2 linked regions of the Canis lupus familiaris genome follow. The protein of the gene in region 2 purifies or fractionates together with the protein of the main gene of each other region. This does not show direct contact. Links are inferred from orthologs where the notes say so. Each region holds a gene or a part of one and is shown on either strand. Other genes may lie near its edges.

What was found. The genes of interacting proteins can lie anywhere in the genome.
Region 1: the proteins of RAB5A (region 2) and RABGGTA purify together in Homo sapiens (affinity purification with mass spectrometry; 3 studies listed by BioGRID and IntAct, counting the BioPlex papers as one, with this or other methods). This does not show direct contact. The link is inferred for Canis lupus familiaris from reciprocal best matches to the Homo sapiens genes RAB5A and RABGGTA.

What each region holds. Positions count from the first base shown.
Region 1 is NC_049229.1:4,368,969-4,374,689, reverse strand, and holds the end of RABGGTA (geranylgeranyl transferase type-2 subunit alpha), read left to right. Parts: intron 1-154; coding exon 155-358; intron 359-668; coding exon 669-752; intron 753-839; coding exon 840-922; intron 923-1,010; coding exon 1,011-1,112; intron 1,113-1,219; coding exon 1,220-1,325; intron 1,326-1,415; coding exon 1,416-1,467; intron 1,468-1,633; coding exon 1,634-1,722; intron 1,723-1,875; coding exon 1,876-1,964; intron 1,965-2,066; coding exon 2,067-2,183; intron 2,184-3,007; coding exon 3,008-3,121; intron 3,122-3,390; coding exon 3,391-3,478; intron 3,479-4,078; exon of another isoform or gene 4,079-4,422; coding exon 4,423-4,571; 3' UTR 4,572-4,637; downstream 4,638-5,721. UniProt on the Homo sapiens protein: Catalyzes the transfer of a geranylgeranyl moiety from geranylgeranyl diphosphate to both cysteines of Rab proteins with the C-terminal sequence -XXCC, -XCXC and -CCXX, such as RAB1A, RAB3A, RAB5A and RAB7A.
Region 2 is NC_049244.1:23,814,342-23,820,053, reverse strand, and holds the end of RAB5A (ras-related protein Rab-5A), read left to right. Parts: intron 1-657; coding exon 658-751; intron 752-4,411; coding exon 4,412-4,527; 3' UTR 4,528-4,554; downstream 4,555-5,712. UniProt on the Homo sapiens protein: The small GTPases Rab are key regulators of intracellular membrane trafficking, from the formation of transport vesicles to their fusion with membranes.

The DNA of each region.
Region 1 (5,721 bases), on a different chromosome or scaffold from region 2:
TGCGAGCTGATGGCAAAGGGGCTGATGGAGACAAACCAATACCCTGTAGAACACACATGGGAGTTTCTTGAGGGCTTCTAAGAGAACTTGAGGGGTTCCAGCTATGGAGCTCCCCTTGCCCTACTTCTGAGATGTGCTGTCACTGTTCCCCTAGTTCACTGCTGGGATTACCGGCGTTTTGTGGCCGCTCAGGCAGCTGTGCCTCCTGCAGAGGAGTTAGCCTTCACTGACAGCCTCATTACCCGAAACTTTTCCAACTACTCCTCTTGGCATTACCGCTCCTGTCTCTTGCCCCAGCTGCACCCCCAGCCAGACTCTGGACCACAGGGACGTCTCCCTGAGGATGTGCTCCTCAAAGGTTAGCAGGGTCAGAGGGTGCTGGGGCAGACTATGGTGCTGTCTTTCCAGCCTTGTTACCTAACCCTGTTCCTGAACCTGCTGCTTGGGCTTATTGAGCACCTACTTTGTGCCTGGCTTTGGGGGTGTGTAAGATTCAGCCCCAGGCTGCAGGGAACACAAGTGTCCAGTGGGAAAGATGCAGCTGCTGTGCAAGGCCAGCAGATAAATGGAACCGAGGGCTGGCAGCACTCCAGGGGGAGGGTGGGATGCTGGGGTGGCCAGGAGCCACCAGGGTCCTGGCCATAGCCCATGCTCCTTGGCCCCTTCAGAACTGGAGCTGGTACAGAACGCCTTCTTCACTGACCCCAATGATCAGAGCGCCTGGTTCTATCACCGCTGGCTCCTGGGAAGAGGTGAGCAGTGGGGAAAGAGGCTGGGTCTTTAGGGTTTTGAAAGAACAGAAGAGGATATAAGGGGAGCTGAGTTTGTGTCTTCCCCAGCTGACCCCCAGGATGCCCTGCGCTGCCTGCACGTGAGCCGAGATGAGGCCTGTCTGACTGTCTCCTTCTCTCGGCCTGTCCTGGTGAGTCCTGCAGCTTTTCCGAGAAAGCATCATGGATGTGGGTCTGGTGCTGTGGGGCTGACAGGTCTGTCTTTGTCCCCTGGGCCAGGTGGGGCCCAGGACAGAGACATTGCTGCTCATGGTGGACGAGTCACCCTTGGCTGTGGAATGGAGGACCCCAGATGGCAGAAACTGGCCTGGCCACGTCTGGGTATCCCAGGATTCGAGGAGCAGAGTGGGGGGAACTGGGGCAGGGCTGGAGTGGGATAGTCAGAAAAGTGGTGAGGCTCAAGCATTTCCTTAACCCAGTGCTCCCAGCTCTGTGACTTGCCCGCCACCTCCCTCAATGACCAGTTGCCCCACCATACATTTCGTGTCATTTGGACAGCAGGCGATGCCCAAAAGGAGTGTGTGCTTTTAAAAGGTAACACAACCTCTGCCCGTTGAGGCAGCACTTTCATCCCTCTCCTGCTCTCACGGGGGCCCCCTTTCTACTACCCATTCTTGTTCTCAGGCCACCAGGAGGGCTGGTGCCGGGACTCAGCCACGGATGAGCAGCTTTTCAGGTGATGACAGAGAAGCACACAGACAAGGGGAGGGGCTCTGGACTCTGGGCATCAGGCAACTGGGCTGGGAGGCTGGGGGCTTGGGCACATGGTCTCAGACTGGATACCAGGGATGACTGGTACCCAGAGTAGACACCATCCCCTCCCCCGCCCTGTCCATCCTCAGGTGTGAGCTGTCAGTGGAGAAGTCCACGGTGCTGCAGTCTGAACTTGAATCCTGTAAGGAGCTGCAGGAGCTGGAGCCTGAGAATAAGTGTGAGGCCCCATTCCCTACCATTCCCTGAGATCCTGCTCTTCTGAGGAGGTCCTTTTCCAGGAGGGCTTCTCGGGGAGAGCAGGAAGGGTCTCAAGAGATGGGAGCACAGGAGGATCTAGAAGAGACAGTCCTTTTCCTCACCATCTCCTCAGGGTGCCTGCTCACCATCATCCTGCTGATGCGGGCACTGGACCCCCTGCTGTATGAGAAAGAGACACTGCAGTATTTCCAGACCCTCAAGGCAAGTCAGGCCTGTGGGAACAGGACAGGGGTTGCAGGAGAGGCCCAGTGAGTGGCAGGAAGACAACTGATGGGCTTTTCTTGTCATCCCCCTCCCCCCCAGGCTGTGGACCCGATGCGGGCAGCGTACCTGGATGACCTGCGCAGCAAGTTCCTGCTAGAGAATAGCTTGCTCAAGATGGAGTACGCCGAGGTGCGCGTGCTGCACCTCGGTCACAAGGTATGGACTGCCTTCTTCCTCCTGACCTGGCCAGCTTTGGTGTCTGCTCCATGGGCTTGAGCTGAGGCACTCTGGCCTCACCGTGCCCCTGGCTTTGGCCTCAGTCTCAGGTGCCTTTCTAGGCTTTGTTCCTAACCAAGATGGCATTCATCTCCCTTCAAGCCTATCCCCCTTCCTCATCTTGCCTTCTGTCACTTGCCCCATCGTTCGTGCTACCCAGTCTCAAATCCTGAGTCAGCAGGGCCTCCTCATGCCACCCTCTTCTCTGGGACCAGTCACATCTTCATTTTTCCCTCCCAGTGAGCCCTCCTTGAAACCCCCACCCCCCGCTCCGATGCTTCTCTCCCTAGAGCAGGCCCCAGCACCCGAAGCTGGGTAACTTCCAGAGATGTTTGACAAACTTCCCGGGCTGTTTTCCTGCTTTGTAGTCTTTCCCAGTCAGTGTTTCCATTGCAGCAGTTTGGTCATATCCTTGCAGCCTTCCACTGCCCCCAGACGGACCCCCCAGACTCAGCAGGTCTGCTTCTGGCAGCGGCTGTGCCTACCCCAGCACCCTCTGCCATCCCCTGTACCTGCCTCCACTCTAGGCTGCCTCCCCCCATCCACCTGCCAGCCACCCCACCCCAGCACTCCCTCATCTGTCCCTTGTCTTTGATGCAGAGCGTGTATTGCTGAGGGTCGTAAGGTAAGCGTCTCACCTGCTCTGTCCTGTCCTCGGCCAGTGCCCCCAAGGGCCTGTGTGGGACCCAGAGGGTAAGTGCCGCGTGAGCAATGGCTGGGGACCCTCCTCCAAGTCTCCCTGGGTGTCTCATCCTCCTCCCTAGGATCTGACGGTACTCTGTCATCTGGAACAGCTGCTCTTGGTCACTCATCTGGACCTGTCACATAATCGTCTCCGAGCCCTGCCCCCTGCCCTGGCTGCCCTGCGCTGCCTTGAGGTAAAGCACTCCTCCACCACTGTCCTGGGTGGTCCTTTTCCCTCTCCTCTCCCTCTGAAGTTGGCCCACCCTCCAAAGAGCTGTCCACATCTTCCCTGCCCCTGCAGGTGATCCCTTGCTTTCTCTGTCCCCGTGACCTGACCTGCCCCCAGCAGCCTTTCCCTTCACTGTAAGCTGATCGCCCTGAGCTCCCCCCTGCTTGCTTACACCAGTCCCAGGCTGACAGCTGCCTGCCCTGCCTTGACTTCCTTGCCCTCCCTGCTCCTCAGGTCCTGCAGGCCAATGATAATGCCATAGAGTCCCTGGACGGTGTCACTAACCTGCCCCGGCTGCAGGAGCTCTCGCTGTGTAACAACCGTATCCTTCCTTCTGAGGGCCCTTCAGACAGTGGGAGGGATGAGGTGCCACGCTGGGAAGGGACAGCCAGCCAGCGGGGTGAGTGGGAAAGGGGGGTCTGGCAGTCTCAACTAAGGAGAGGTAGCCTGGGGCTATGTGGGGCATCGTTGAGTTGCGCTGGTGGTTTTGCCAGGTGGGAGTGACTTCTTCAAGCTGGAGTTCACAAACCAGCGCCCTGCAGATACTCTTGGATAACACATAGTATTTTTTTTTTTTTTAAAATATTATTTTTTTTTCTTTTTCTTTTTTTTCTTTTTTTTTTTTTTATTTTTTTTATTTTTTTTATTTTTCATTTATTTATGATAGTCACACAGAGAGAGAGAGAGAGGCAGAGACATAGGCAGAGGGAGAAGCAGGCTCCATGCACCGGGAGCCTGACGTGGGATTCGATCCCGGATCTCCAGGATCGCGCCCTGGGCCAAAGGCAGGCGCTAAACCGCTGCGCCACCCAGGGATCCCAACACATAGTATTTTAAAAATCAAGAAGTTTTGTATTTAAAAAATCTAGAATTCTGATTTTACTTAAAAAAATTAGAGGTTAGGGAGGCCTTGCTCGGTCAGTTGGTAGAGCATATGACTTTTAATCTGAGTCTTGAGTTCAAGCCCAATGTAGGGTGTGAAGTCTACTTAAAAAAAAAAAAAACAAAAAAAACAAAAACAAAAAGAAAGTTAAAGCAGGCCTTAGTATATATACCACGCCTGCCCGCCTTCTGGGCTTCCTGCCTGGCCCCATGGGCAGGGGTTTGCAGTCTGGAGCCTTACTCCGTCCAGGGAAATGTGCAAGATGCCTGTCAGCCAGACTTCCAGGCAGCAGTCCCCATTCTTGAGGGAAGTTGGTGATGGGCACCCGGGAGCACGTGGGTCTGGGGGAACCTGGCACGCTTTCCTTGACTCTCCTGCCCAAGGCCTCCAGCAGCGCATGGTGCTCCAGCCTCTTGCCTCCTGCCCCAGGCTGGTCCTCCTCAACCTGCAGGGCAACCCCCTGTGCCAAGCAGTGGGCACCTCTGAGTACCTGGCTGAGCTCTTGCCTTTGGTTAACAGCATCCTTGTCTAGGAGACCCTTCTCTGCCCTCGTTCTTTAACTTATTGGGACTGAATAAACAATGGAGAGGCTCCCTCAGGCTGCTACGCTGCTGCTGCCACCGCCACCACCATCACCACCATCACCACCATTCCTTCTGCCATCTGTTCTGGAAGAGAAAGGGAGAGAGTTAGGGTGTGTCAGCTTTCTCTCACACTTTCATCTTATGTCAAATCCAGCTGTTCTTACCACGGGGAACCAAAGTCTCGGTGCTGGGGCAGAATCGGCAAAATCTGAGTTTACCTTCTAGTTGGGGCTGGGACTGGGATTGGGTTTGGGTTCAGGTTCTGGTTGGGGCCGGGCTACAAAGCAGCTGTAAGTCTAATTAGAAGGACTCAGAAAAGTTTTCCCGTGACTCCTGCCCCTTCCAGATACCTTCTGTGCCCTGGCTCATTCACCACAGCTCAGAAAGCCATTCCCATGAGGAGCTGACCAGAGTGTCCATGCTCCACCCACGGGTTACAACAGCATTTGTCCTCTGGAGTAGCATCCTGCGGTTGAAGAGCCCTCAAAAATCCTCCATCTCAGCTGGCCCTCCCAAGTGCTCAGGGATGAGATGGTCAGGCCCATTGTACTAACGAGGAAGCCGCTATTAGGGCATGCCCAAGTTTGCTGGGCTTGCGTGCCGAAGCCCCAGCTCCAGCTGTCTCTGCACCTTGGTCGGGGATTCCAGACTTGTGCCCTTTCTTCCGTGTTGATGCAGAGTGATGGGCAGAGCTTGGCCTCCACACCCAGGCACTGAGCTGGGTGTCTGCTCCCTCCCATGGTGCCCCCCCCACCCCGACTATAAAGCCCTGAGGCACTTGAGTCTCCTGAAGGGAGGAGAGGGGAGCAGCTCAGGGGCTAGGGCACTGAGTCAAAACTGGTTAGGTGGGGAAAGGGAAACAGAAGGGGGAGAGTATGACAGGGCATTTCCCAGCTCTCTGGGAACCTACGGGGGCCCTGCCCCTTCCCATGTTCTTAGTGATGCACAGGCAGGCAACCTCAGCAAAGCCCTTTGGCTGACCCACCTGACACCTGCTTGGAATTTTGATTTGTACTTGTGCGTTCCCTGAGAGTGTTAGAGGTGGAGGTGGACTCCCTGCCAGATCTGTGGCTTGGAGCTGGGCAGGCATAGGTCAGT
Region 2 (5,712 bases):
TATTGTCATGTGGGGTATAATATCTATTCTCTAAGATGGTTATCTCCCCAGCATAGAGTGGGAAGTAAGATTAAGTTATAAGTTACAGTCAAAAGTGGCCTTCTCACATAAGAGTTCAAAGGAACCTCATTTTTTTCATTAAATGGGAAAGATGATTGGTTGCTCTTCACACAACTGTGAGGATCAAAGGCAATAATACATGCAAACTGTAAATCATGACAAAAATGTAGACTAGTAATATAATTTTTAAAGGAATGATTTATGACATACTAAGAATTAAAATATAGCCATTAGATATTTGGATTCCCTTTGACTTCATTGAAAGTAATAAGCATAAATAAAATTTGCCATTGAGATCAAAGAGAATTTTATGTTTAGAATAGACAGTTTTCCAACCTCTGGCACTTACTATTTGAAATCAAATTTAGTGTGAGCCTAGGTGAATCAGAATGGGGATACTGCAGGAAGTTAAGGCAAAAGAACTGAAAAGGTATCCTACAAAAGATCTCTTACCTCTTTTACCTTAATTATTATATATTTGCTAATTCTAGGTAATCAAGTTGGAGTAGTAATGAGGAAGCCTCTTATTCTATAACAAAAATAAGTCAGCTATAGTATGTGCAAAGGATATATATCATATTTTTGTTTTATAAACAGGAAGCACAGTCCTATGCAGATGACAACAGTTTATTATTCATGGAGACATCAGCTAAAACATCGATGAATGTAAATGAAATATTCATGGCAATAGGTAAGTTTTTTAATTTTTTTCCAAGCAGTAGATATAGGCAATAATACTTACACTGTAGCATATTTGGTTTGACTGTCTTCTTTTTAAAAATTCTTACTCTGGGCAACCCCGGTGGCCCAGCAGCTTGGCGCCACCTTTGGCCCAGGCTGTGATCCTGGGGACCTGGGATCAAGACCCACGTCGGGCTCCCTGCATGGAGCCTGCTTCTCCCTCTGCCTGTATCTCTGCCTCTCTCTCTGTGTCTTTCATGAATAAATAAATAAAATCTTTAAAAAAAATACTTACTTTTTTGGTAAATAATTTTGAGAAGTATTTTTAAAAGTAATCATTTTTTTAATGATTCTACTACTATTCTAGATCCTTTCCACCAAGAATTACTTTGTTAGTAATGTTAAATTTGAAAGACTGTTTATTATCTATTAAGTTGTAATACTTTTCAGTTTAAGTCTCTTCTAGGTAAATTGAAAGCCTGGACTTTGAGCTAATAGTTCAAGCAGATGGATTTTCTAAATATTTCAATGAGAAATTTGGATAAATAAGTTTTTGTATTAGATTATCTTTTTTACATGAAAGGAAGATAAGCTCAGAACAATATTTATCAGCATAACATAAAGACATAAAGAGATTACTTTCTCACTGATCAGTAACTATTTTCATCTCTATTTTGCCATGAATAAACACTATTTTTGTTTCTCACATTAGTTTTAAATCACTGATTATTGACAAATATAATGCAAATATTGTAACAAAATTTCAAATTATTGAGGCACAGAAAGACGGAAAATAAAATAACATGCTTCATATTACCTCTGATCATTTAACCTATGCAGTGCTCTTACCTTTTCCCTAAGGTAATTTTATGTGTTAAGATTGTGATTCCACGTTTGTTGATTGTAAGTAATGAAATTGGAACACTAATAAGGAAGCTTCCTATTTTCTGTAACAAAAATAAAAGTATTTCTCTTGATCCTAACCTCCTTTCAACAATCTTAAGGTGAGGATTCTGTGAGAATTGGCTACTTGGGTGGCTTTTGCATTTTACTGTGTCTGCACTATTTATGCACCAAGCACTCTTCTCATTCCAAAATATGTTTATTATATGGCAATGATTATTAACTAGGGTGCCCACAAACTTATCCCCAAATAAGAAATAGTCCTTTTATTGAAGTCATACAAATTAACCAATTAACAGCTGATTCAGAGGCTAAAGAAAATATAGTAAATGCTACAAGTACTGTTAAAATATCTTTCACTAGATGAGAGAGTTTTAATGGTAGCTCATTTAGGCTCATTAGGAAAAAAAATTGCCTGTTGTGTAAAATATTTTACTGAAAAACTCAGGCTTAAAGTTTATTAGGGAAATACTTGTGGAGGATTATATGACAATGTGCTCTTTTTATAAATAGAACACAAAATTACATTCAGAACCACATCTGAAAAGCCAGTAACAGAAATCAAGGGAATAATAGCCTCAAATCAGGCTGAATGAACTTTAAACTTTTCTGATAGTACTAAGATACCACCAGATGGGCTTGCTTGCTTATTATTTTTTTAAGTAATCTGCATCTAATGTGGTGCTTGAATATATGACACGGAGATCAAGAGTCACACTGTACTGATTGAGCCAGCCAGGCACCCGCATATGGACTTTATCCTTTTATTTAGATGTGCTGGTAATATATTTTTCCAATCAGAAGATAGCCTACATATTAGAACTTTCAGTTATTTTTCTGAAATTACAATGTTTCTTTCCTTGAAAGAAATACCAAGCATTAAATTGAATTGTGGCCTTTCTAGTTGTTTACCAGATAGGTAACTTAGATCACACAGTACAGTACACTCATTATTTTTACTCTTGATGATTTCCTGTAGAGAATATAGTCATTTAAAAAAAAAAAAAAAAAAAAAAAAAAAAAAAAAGAGAATATAGTCATTTAGTAGGAGAAAGTCTACAATAATTTTATAATCTGCTTTCAATTTGATAAGATTTTGCTTACATGACTTCTTTCATTGCACATCTTCATTAACTTCATTTGGATTTTTAGCCTCTTAAGATCCTAATTCAGGGGCAGATGGTAAGCTCCAATTGCCCATATACCAAACAAGTAGTACTAGCTTTACTTTGGTAATATTAAATAAGATATGAGATAGAGATAGAGGGCTGCTTCTGAGACTTCTAAGCTGTATTTTAGTTTATTTTCACACAGTGTAAGTTTACCAAATAGAAGCTTAAAAGTTCCTTATTCTAGTTTATTTCCTTCAACCTCGTAATTTCACTCAGATCTAATTACAGAAGACCCATTGAAAAGAGAAATGATCTCTTAGTCCAAAATATAAATTATAATAAAGTTTATAAATGTTAGCCTATTCTTTGTCCCTACAAACCTTTGTTTGAAAATGTATTTGACTGGAAATTTGCTACTTCATTACCATTTACCCTTCCATCCTTAGTGCCATTTCCAGAGAAGTAGTCGAAGGTGAAGGCTTTTCTTCCCAAACTTCCATTGCCTAGCCCAGCATCTAGGATTCTAAAGATGATTAATGTTCGTGTGGAATATTACAAAAGATCCAAAGTGCAACTAGACATTTAGATATTGAAGGTGGAGCATGTCCAACTTTTGTGTAACCTGAGCCAATAGTAAGGTAAAGCTAGAATTCACCCATAATAGTCTTCTCCCCAAGGTTGATATAGTGTATCTAGTACACTTACAGTCAGTATTCTCAGAGATAGTTAATATTTAGTGAATCCAGCACATGAAGGATTTTTAAGATTCAAAGCAGACTGTATCTAACAGGTATGTTTTTAAATCAGTGGAATCCAGGCTCCAGCACTCTGTATTAGCTATATAAAGCTTAGTAGAACTAAAACCATAACTGCTAGTTGAGGGCTTTGTCCAAATGTGACAAGCCAAGATCATCCAGCTCAGGACTGGAAATCATTTTTTGAAGTAGAGACTTCAGAATCAAGTCTTCCTTAGACGAGGCAGAGCTACTAGTGAATCGGATTAGGGTTTTTAATCATCCATAAATGAGGAGCATGGTAGATGTTTGAAGAGTTAAGTATGTGTAAGCCAGAAGAAAATAGATGTGATCTGTCAGAATTTGGGGTGATAATTAGGTAGCATGATAGAGGACCAGTACTGCTGGGGTGACAGTGATGGCATTTGTTGTTTATATCCTGACTTGTTCCAGAAAGTATATGTGGCAGTCCGGAGATCATTGATACAAGCTAAGATTCTTTATAAATAATTGGCTGGCCATCATCTTTATTAACTTAGATTTTCTTTTTCTTTTTTTTTTTATTAACTTAGATTTTCTTTAAACAATAGAAGTATTAAAGATTATGAAATAAAAGTACTACTATTCTGGTATTGCTAACTGAATATATGTAAAAAATTAAATATAGTCAACTTAAGTTTTAATTATATATAACTGTTCCCTATCTTACCCTTCCCTTATCCCACTAACCTCACTGAGGACTGACGAATGAAGAGTATTTGGTATTATCTAGTAGATATTTAGTAAGCAATTGGAAAAGAATGAACATACAGCTGTGTGATAGTTTGGGTCAACCTAGCTGGAAAAAAAAAGATTAAGCAGATGAAAGTAATTCTAATATGAATCCACTAATTGTGTTTATTTTGATAATTTATCTCTCAGCTAAAAAGTTGCCAAAGAACGAACCACAGAATCCAGGAGCAAATTCTGCCAGAGGAAGAGGAGTAGACCTTACTGAACCCACGCAGCCAACCAGGAGTCAGTGTTGTAGTAACTAAACCTCCAGTTTGAACTTCCTGGAATATTCTTCTGCTTCCTAAATGTTAATGACAGTGGAATTGGAGCATTTAACCAGCCCAGTATGACTTCCAAAAAGAAGAGACTTACGATAGAGTCAAGTTTCTAATACAGAATTATTTTAAGTGTTTTGAACTTAATTTTTAATAACATGCATGTGACCCTCTGACTAATATTTCAGAAGTAGAAGGGGGGAATGAGAGCTGTGTGTGTACGCTTGTTTCCTTGGACGGTTAGGGGAATCATTTCTCATCACCAGGGATAGAGACAAATGATGTAAACCCACAGTTAACCAGCCACTTCTATGTAAAAGATTTGGAACTTATTAATTTGGGCTTTTCAAAAGCATTCTTTTTTTAGAAGGAAGTTCTAAAGATATTTATGCTTAGCTACAGTATTCAGGAAACTGGTAATTTCTCTTAGTATGCATATTTAAAATGTACATTCCACATTTTAACAGATTAGCCACAAGAAAACAGTCCCACATCTTCAGGGAGAAAAACACAAACATTAGTGGCATCTAAATTATAGCCAGTCTTGGTATTTTTAGTGGGTTAAAAAAGGTCAAACGTAACCTCATCTTGTTTTAGGAATATGAAAATTGAATGCATCTTGATAGTGTTCCCTTCAAACATGTGAGCTCTTCAACAGAAATGAAACAAACCAGGTGTCTGTGATTTCTGTTTAATCACTGCTGGCCATTACATAGGTTTTGTTGTTTGGGGGCAGGGAGGGGGCCTTTGTTCCCTTTGGACATAATATAGTCAATGCACTAACAATTATGTACATTCAAACTTGATTATTTTAAATTCAATTTTCAGCTGTACTGTAAATAGAGTACTGCACTGTAGTCTCCATATATGTTTATTACTTTCCTGTAATATTTAAGAGTTGCTTAAAAGTATACAAAATGTACAGTTACTAAAACAGCTAATTTTTCCTTTTCTCTCCCTTTGAAAGGAAGGGGCTTCAGTTGTTCCTACATGGCTAGAACCATAATAAACAATGTACCAGTAATTTGTAACATAACTATTGCAGTATGTTAGTAACAGTCTTGCAGCCTTGTTTTCCAGAGTTCATTTTATTTTGATCAGTTCAGTATATTGCACTAATTGTTTTAGGTATTTTCATTATATGAAATCTACCATGTGTCAGAGATGATTTAA